Oryzias latipes: one gene and its partner. The protein of the gene in region 2 purifies or fractionates together with the protein of the main gene of each other region. This does not show direct contact. Links are inferred from orthologs where the notes say so. Each region holds a gene or a part of one and is shown on either strand. Other genes may lie near its edges.

The links.
Region 1: the proteins of plcg2 (region 2) and tyrosine-protein kinase Lyn purify together in Homo sapiens (affinity purification with western blotting; 3 studies listed by BioGRID, with this or other methods). This does not show direct contact. The link is inferred for Oryzias latipes from reciprocal best matches to the Homo sapiens genes PLCG2 and LYN.

The regions. Positions count from the first base shown.
Region 1 is NC_019875.2:19,364,349-19,368,643, reverse strand, and holds the start of tyrosine-protein kinase Lyn, read left to right. Parts: upstream 1-1,413; 5' UTR 1,414-2,057; intron 2,058-4,295. UniProt on the Homo sapiens protein: Non-receptor tyrosine-protein kinase that transmits signals from cell surface receptors and plays an important role in the regulation of innate and adaptive immune responses, hematopoiesis, responses to growth factors and cytokines, integrin signaling, but also responses to DNA damage and genotoxic agents.
Region 2 is NC_019864.2:27,975,625-27,979,450, forward strand, and holds part of plcg2 (1-phosphatidylinositol 4,5-bisphosphate phosphodiesterase gamma-2), read right to left. Parts: intron 2,358-3,826; coding exon 2,271-2,357; intron 2,085-2,270; coding exon 1,915-2,084; intron 1,807-1,914; coding exon 1,606-1,806; intron 610-1,605; coding exon 487-609; intron 1-486. UniProt on the Homo sapiens protein: The production of the second messenger molecules diacylglycerol (DAG) and inositol 1,4,5-trisphosphate (IP3) is mediated by activated phosphatidylinositol-specific phospholipase C enzymes. It is a crucial enzyme in transmembrane signaling.

The DNA of each region.
Region 1 (4,295 bases), on a different chromosome or scaffold from region 2:
TAGATATGCAAAAATCCGTGACGCTTCCACAAACAGCAACATATGTTGGAAAAAATATTGATTGTTTTTTTGCACTGAGGGTGATGACACGCCTCCTAACTCCATGTAATAACTGCCGCACACTTTGTTTAGTTGTCTTTGTTTATCATCAGCTTTGTCCGAACTCCCTATATAGAACTATATAGTGCGGGACCATGTAGTGCTCTGGATTTTAGAAGCTATTTGGACACCATGCTCACTACTTTTTTGTTTTTAAACGGCAAATATGACATCAGCAATTTCCCGAAGTAAAACCCTGATAAATGCGAACAAAATATGAATCCACTGTTCTGATGATGAAAACATGGATGGTTTTTTAGGAAATAACATGAAAAATCATTCAAATGCAATGCATTGTGGTCTATATTTGCCAATCTAATGAGCACATACCGGTTTTTCGTGAAATTTCTAGGACACTGGAGTTTGGATTTTGTAGATTTGGACCACGCACTATATAGTGAACTAAAGTGAAGGAATTCGGACACAGCAATCATTTTGTGATTCTGCTCCAATATTCCTGTCTGAACTGTGAGTCATCATAATGTAATGAGGGATGAAATATTGCTTTTCTTTTTGTACTGTTAAACTGTAAACGTGTGTGGGGCTGTGGAAACCCGGCAGATCCCACTTTAAGCATGCAAAGGAGCACGATCCTGTTTGAAAGTCTTTGTCCAGCTCACTGTAAACACATTTTCTACATTTGGTGTCAGCACAAAGAAATAAAAATCACATAAAACATTTTTTTAATCCATTATTATAGTAGTAGGTTTAAAGGGTTGTCATCTGGACTCGTTTTTTATAGTTGAAGATGTTTCATCCAAAAAGCTTTGTCAATTCTGAAATAGCTGGTAAAAGAGCTGGTTTAACCCTTGTGCTATCTTAGATGACCCCACCCTTACATTGATGTGTTCTCCCTACCATGACAAAGGTGGATAAAGGTGGAAAGATTTCATGTAATCCATGGACACCAGTGAAGATCACAAATCATTGAAGAAAAAAGGTTCAGTGCACTGTCTAGTGGGTCTAGATGACCCAACTCCCAATGTTAAATGGCCTAGGATAGCACAAGGGTTATATGTGCTCATGGTGGGAGGAGTCAGACCTGAAACTGGATAGTATGGTCTACTTAGAATACTAGGTTTTGGGTCGTTAGGAGTCCTTTGTCCTCAGCTGGAGTTGGGGAGACAGTGGCTACCCTCCCCAGCCTGGTCATCTCTCTCAGCTGTTAACGACTCAGTTGGAACTGGTTTGGGTTTCAGAACACTGCTGTAGATGGATGGAAGAATAAACCTGAGACCACCATTCTTATTAAGAGAAGGTTTATCTGTCTTGACAAAGATGGCTTCTTTCACTCCTCGCTCAAACCATCCTTTCTCTCTGACTCCTCCCCCATGAGTACATATAATCAGAATTGACAAAGCCTTTTGGATAAGAGGTGAAACATCTTCAACCTTAAAAACCAAGTCTAGATGACAACCTTTAAACCCGCTACTATGATGGAATCTACCTGGATGAATGAGAGTCGTCATAGACATAAATCCATAATTGCACTTTTACGGTTTCGCCACAAGATGTCACTGTTGCATACTTTCATTAAAACAAATTATTCAAGTAAACTTTTAAAGAATTTCTATTTAAGCATTTACCTTTTTATTTGGAATGACTTTTATAAAATATAAACAGTTCTAAACATATTTTGTAAAAAATAATTTGGTCAAACCCATAAAAAATAGAAAATCTGTTCTGCAATAGTGTGGCTGCTGATTATGCAAATAATCATTAGACAATTGTACCAGGAAGTATTGGTTAAAAAAAAAAAGAAAGAAAGAAAAAAGCCCCGGCCAGCTGCTCGTAAGTTCCTCATTCTGGTACAGCAGCAGCATATGAGGCTGTTGACCCACTCGACAAGCCAACGTGCCTGCGGTTACTCTGATGAGGAGCACAAAGAAGGTTTCTGAGGACTACAGGGTTTCCACATACAGGGAAAGCTAATCAAACAGCCATACAGATACTCGCAGGTAAGATGTGTTCATTTTTTAAACAAAATGCTCATTTTACATCATTTCTGAGGTAGGACACATATATGTGACTGGTTAAATGAGTTTCAGTTTGCTCTGGAAAAGATTGACCTTTGAACAGTTTTAAGTGGCTTTTCTCTCAGATTTGTCATTTATTGGCACTTGACGTCCACTGCTTTTTCTACTTCCTAGTATCTCTCCCTCGTTTACTGATAGGGGAAGTGTGTCATTCAGTGGGACTCTGGGTGGGGGGGTTATAGACCTACATCCAGACCATCTAAAAAGACAAGAAAAAAAATCAAACCAAATTTCACTTGGTTTGACATAAAATCTAAAGTGGATCAGAAGCCTCAAATTCAGAATTTTACTTTATTTGCAATATGACTTTGATATTATATAAAATAAGAAATATAACCTTAAAAAGATGGAAGCAGGTCTGTTAATTTCTGAGGAACAGTGTTGATCTTTGTTCAATTTCAATCACACAGAGTAATTGAACTATTTTGATTTTGTATGCTGATTACACTAAACAAGTGAAGCATGAAAAGATTCAAAGTGAAAAAAATATTTTGAATGTTTCTTTTTTCCCAAAAACGGGACAATTTGCCCCGGATCGTAACATAATATGCCGTTTTTAGCCAAAATCCTAACAAAATCTGTGCCGTTTTCTAGGACATAGTTTTTGCAGAGCAGCAGGAGTTCTTTAGAAACTCTGAGTCGTGGACAGGACTGTTGGCGTGAGGCAACCCCGCCCCCCCTTCCCTTCGGCGCAGGGTAGATCACTACCCAAATAGGCTATTTTTCAAACTGCGTTTTTTTCGTCTGGTCCTGATTCACCACATTTTGAATAAAGAAATCCTCAGAAATGTATCTAATATATAAAAATGTATTATTTTTTATGATTTATTATCATAGAGTATTAAACAAAAACATTTACCACACCTGAAATGACACCTGATGTCTTCCTTCTTAACATACTCATCATTATGGTTGAATTGGGGGGGTTGTGTTGGAGAACAGCAGCTCCTCTTATCTTTAGAGGCTGAATTAATAATCAAAATTAAGAACAATGTTATAAATGATCCACGCGACTCAAATAATCTGATTTAGAAAACAATGTAAAACTCTCAAAAAAGGTCTTTTTTATTGTGTCAGCACATATCAGAAAATATGGCAGCTCTAACCACTGAATGGAAAAATAACTTCCTGTCTTCTACTGTTTAAACCCTACAGGTATTTGGGAGACTTTTTTCAACAGCAAACCCTTCAACAAAGCTTAGTTCAGCCTTCCACATAAAACATGACACAGAAACAGAAAGTTAAAAATGGGCAGTTATGACAGACACAAGCACACAATGCACCCGCAGGACATGAACAGGTACTTTCAGACCACATGGTCGTGTGGCATGAAAGCCAGCGTAACACCAGGAACTTACAGCAATTCGCTGGTCCTCTACGCTATCCAGAAAAAAAAGCCATTTTTGGACGCACTTTTATACTAATCGATACACAAAGACATGTCCAAAAGTTAGATAACAATATAAAATCACCCTTTCAATCTATATTTAGACAGTTTCAAGATTTATATTTCAAATTCAGATGCCTTGCAGATGTAAACCTGAGCTTTTGAATACGTTAAACACACAAAAAAGTCCTGTGTTGCTAGTTTTAACGCTACTATAATTGATTGTTTTACATTTTTGTTGTTCTTTATTTCCTGACACTTCTGATTCCCTAATTTAAGACTAACTTTGTGTGTATATACACACAAATATACACTCACACACACAGAGACAGACAGACAGGGATTATCCTTTACATAATGCTATTTTATAGATTGTTTATAGATCAAATACATTGTTTACATGTGTGTAAGGCTGTTAAAGTGTCACTTGTGATCATGCTTATAGAGTTTGATGGAAACTAAACTAAAAGTAAAGGGATTTTTTGGGAATTTCTTTTAACATATCTTTCCATTAGTGAATATTTGATTAGTATAAACGTATGATGTAATTTGGTAATTTATAGATCACTGCTTGTTTGTTTGAATTTAAAAGATTAACTCAAGTTTATTTACTTTAGATAAAGGTATTTATCCAAATTATTAAAAAATACCAACATAGTTTAATGCCTGGCATGAATTTCAGGTGATGGAACGCCATTATTCTTCTGTTCTCATATGTTTTGACATAAAACTGCTTGGCTTTAATAGTTTTTTAGTGATTTCCATTTTTCTTT
Region 2 (3,826 bases):
TGTGTATTGTTTAGAAAAGGATTTAGAGAAAATATAGTAACCCCCAAAGGTGCAAGATAAAAAAAAAATTGGAGCAATATTTAGAGAGATGTTTACAGTAATAGTTGCAGTGAAAATATATTTAAAAAAAGAAGAAATTGGCTTCGGCAACGGCCCTTTTTCTCTTTCAAGCTGTTGAGGGTTTCTCTAACAAAACTATTTGTTTGGTTAGGTTTTGCATATTTCAGTTATGGTATAAAACAACAACAGACAAATCAAATAAACACTCGCTAATAACAATAGTCTTTAAATAATTTACAATTCAGAAAAACAAGGACGAAAAAAGTATTCATATGACAGAAATAAAAAAAAAAGTTTAATAAAATCAATATCTTTATGAGGACTATATCTATATCACCAATATGTCATAAGTATTTGTTACAATCATGATGGGGCTCAGACATCAACATTTACCTTTACATGGTTAAAAAAACACTCTGTTCATACCTAAATGTGATGGCAAAGGAGTCTGGCTCTCCTTCTCTCTGTCGGATGAGGAAAGCTCCGTCTCTGGGAATCCTCAGAAGGTAATCCTCTGCCTGGCCTCTGCTCAGGTTACTGTAGAACCATCTGCACAGAAAAACATCAACACAGCCCATGAATCATTCTGGCTATGAACAAGCAATTGACTCCCGATTATTCTACTAACTAAAATGGGATTTTATTCATGTTCCAGTAAAACAATAATTAAAGCCGTGAGCGGCGTTGTATGGCCTGCAGGCGCGACCCGCCTTCATGGCTGACCCTACTGGCAAAATGGCAGCTTTTCTGTTGGTTTTATCTCCATGGCAACCGTTGTTTTGGGTCACCTGGGGGTGACGAACAGATCAAATTTTTAGAAGAATTGACAAAAGTACATTTTTGAATTGCCTTGGCAAAGTGAGTTTTTTTTTTTTTTTACCACGCCCACATTCCTAATATGTTCATATGTGACGCTATACATTTTTGTCCAACTTGAGCCAAGGATTCATGCATCCAATTTTTACAAAATTCCGGAAGAAAATGTGCAAGCAGTAAGCAAACGCCACTTTAGTGGGCTTGCTACTATTAAAACTAACAAACTTTAAATGCAACATTTTTTTCCCCAAGTAGCTCCCTAATGATGCTCGAGGAGTTAGGAGATGAAAGATGGAAATCCAAAGGCGGAGTTTACATTTGTAGAAGGTCCTAAAGATGTTTATTATTATTCTTAATTCAAGATGGCTGCTTCTTCCTGAGGTCAAAGGTCAATGAAACTTCAGTTGCGGTCGTAGACTTAAATTGGTGGCATGTGTGTGTGAAATTTTGTGAAGATTGCTCAAACTAAAGTTTTCTTCCCCCACATTGTGCAAAAATGTTAAAATTGCCAAATTCCACACATTCCCACAAAATGGCCGTAGGTCCTGTGACCATCCCATAATAATTTTAAAACATGTTTTTGGGGGTTTTCTTTAGTGGATTTTACTTTTATACTCCAATAGGAGATTTCGGTCGCCTTAATGTTTTTTATGGTTTTGCCTGCTGTGATGTCATCTTTATTTTCTTCTTCTTTTTTTTCAGGACTGATGCTGATGCTGCAGGACGAACCCTTCCTGGAGGTGAGAGTCCGGCTTGGGCACGGCGTCGGTTAGGCGCAGCTCGAAGTCCTGGCAGCGCAGCGGCATGTCTTTGTAGTGCTGGATCAGAGAGTACACGGTGGGGAAGTGCAGGTTTGGAGTCAGGAAGAAGTACGTGTGACCCCCCTCTGAACCAGAGCGGATCCTGCAGTGCTGGACTCTCCCACCCCGCCTGCAGAACAGACAAGTAAAAGTCTTTCTCTGCCTCTTTAAGGTTGCTAAAGGAATGCTACTTCTTTGACTTTGCATTTAGAGGTGACATAAAGAAGCGGACATGTACCAAAATGACAGCGTATAGTCAGTGACGTAGGTGTCACTTTGTCGGACCAGGAAGGTACCGTCTCGTCTCCCGGTCTCTGTGCAATACTCATGGATCCGCCGCTCAGCCATCTGCCTGCCCTCCTTCATCTGACCATGAAACCACGGCTCCGAACAGTGCATGTCTTGGTACTGAGGGACGGAACAAACCACAAAATATCTTCAAGATTTGTTCAGACAGACGTCAAATAATTTTCTCAATTTGGTACTTTTTTTGTTCCAAATATCTGCGTTTATTTTCAGTCCAGTGGGAAAAACATGTTCAGATACTTCATGTTTGTTTCCGTACATTCAAATATTCAGTTGAGCGACTTTTACCTTCTTGGGATCTTCCTCTTCCTGCTCGTACTCTTCAGCGTAGTACAGTTTGTCATCAGAGATCACACAGTAGTGCTTGTTCCACCGCTGGAAAAAAAATGGGAACCCCCTGTCATTTTTACACATCAGATCATGGTTATGGGTTAATTTCGAAGAACTCCTTTTTTGAAGACGATTGGTTGTAGCTGTAGCTACGTGCATCAAATTGGAGGGCAGCTATTTGGTCGGTCAGGGGTTGAAGTTTGATGTTAAACAATCATTTGCTGCGTTTTCGTTACACATATCCGCAAAAATTTATTGAAATTTTAGAAATGTTAAAAAAACCACAATTTCGCAATCACACTGTAACCATTAAATTATAATTATTCAAATAAACACAAACCAAGTCACATGATACTAGCGCTAGTACTAGCACTAGCGCTAATCATCATCTATCAAAGGAGACGTCGGTGTCTTCTTCAGGCTATGGAGTGGCGAGCTCCTTACACGTGGGAGGGGCTACGGATAAAGCCATTTTGGGAAATGGTGGTTGGGGATTTTACAGAGGAGCTGTGGATCCAACAATTCCACATGACACGCTCAACTTTGGATGAGCTGTGTGACGCTGTGGGACCTGTGGTGGCGCCCACTGTGCAGTGTGGTATCTGGTTGTAAGTCACGTGACTCATTTAGTTCCAAAAAAGTGTTTCCATTGCAGTTTTGCAAAATATGTCAATTTAAGTATGCCTAAAAATTCTTTTTAAAAAAAAATCCTCCTCCACGTGGAAATTTTCTTTTATCGATGAATTGCGAGCTTTTTTGAAATTTTCATCTTTCCAATGGGCGATTACAATGTTTTTTAATAAATTATATAAACATACACCGGGTGACAAAGAGAAGACCAAAATAATGTTCACAATTTGATTAAGAAACACAAAGAAATGGAAAAATTACATAAAATAAATGCTTCATAAGTGCAACAAAGAAAAGAAGCAGCCTTTTTTGATTGTTTATGACACATGTCCATCCACTTGTACTAATGGACCATTCACATGCCCTATTTGACCCCTGACTAAGGAAGTAAAGCACAAACAAATTAGAGTAATTAAAGTGTCCTTGTAAAGTCATAAAGCATTAAGGAAGCCTCTTCCAGGAATTAGCCTCATCCTGACAGTAAAAAACCTTTCACTTCCTTGGACTGCCTCTTTCTTATCATGAAATAACCATAAATACTTTTATCACATCACTTGGAGGCCATTACCACACATACACAAAAATACAAGCTTGCATTTGATAGTGTATAAGCTCATTTAACTTAATTCACTACGGTTTTTCTTTGCAGCACAAAACCACAAAGACCAGAACCACAAAGCTTTTCTTCCTGCAGCCTAAAAGAGCAGAAAAGCTGGAGGAAAAGGTTTGATCAAGTGTTCTCGTATACGCCGAAACGCTTTTTTCACGTATAAAATTCAGACAAGTTAAATAATATCTTTTATTGCATGTTTCTTTGGGTAATTTTTTTACAAATGTAATGATGATGCAACAAGATGTTGTCCGTCAGTGGTTTGTGATTTAAA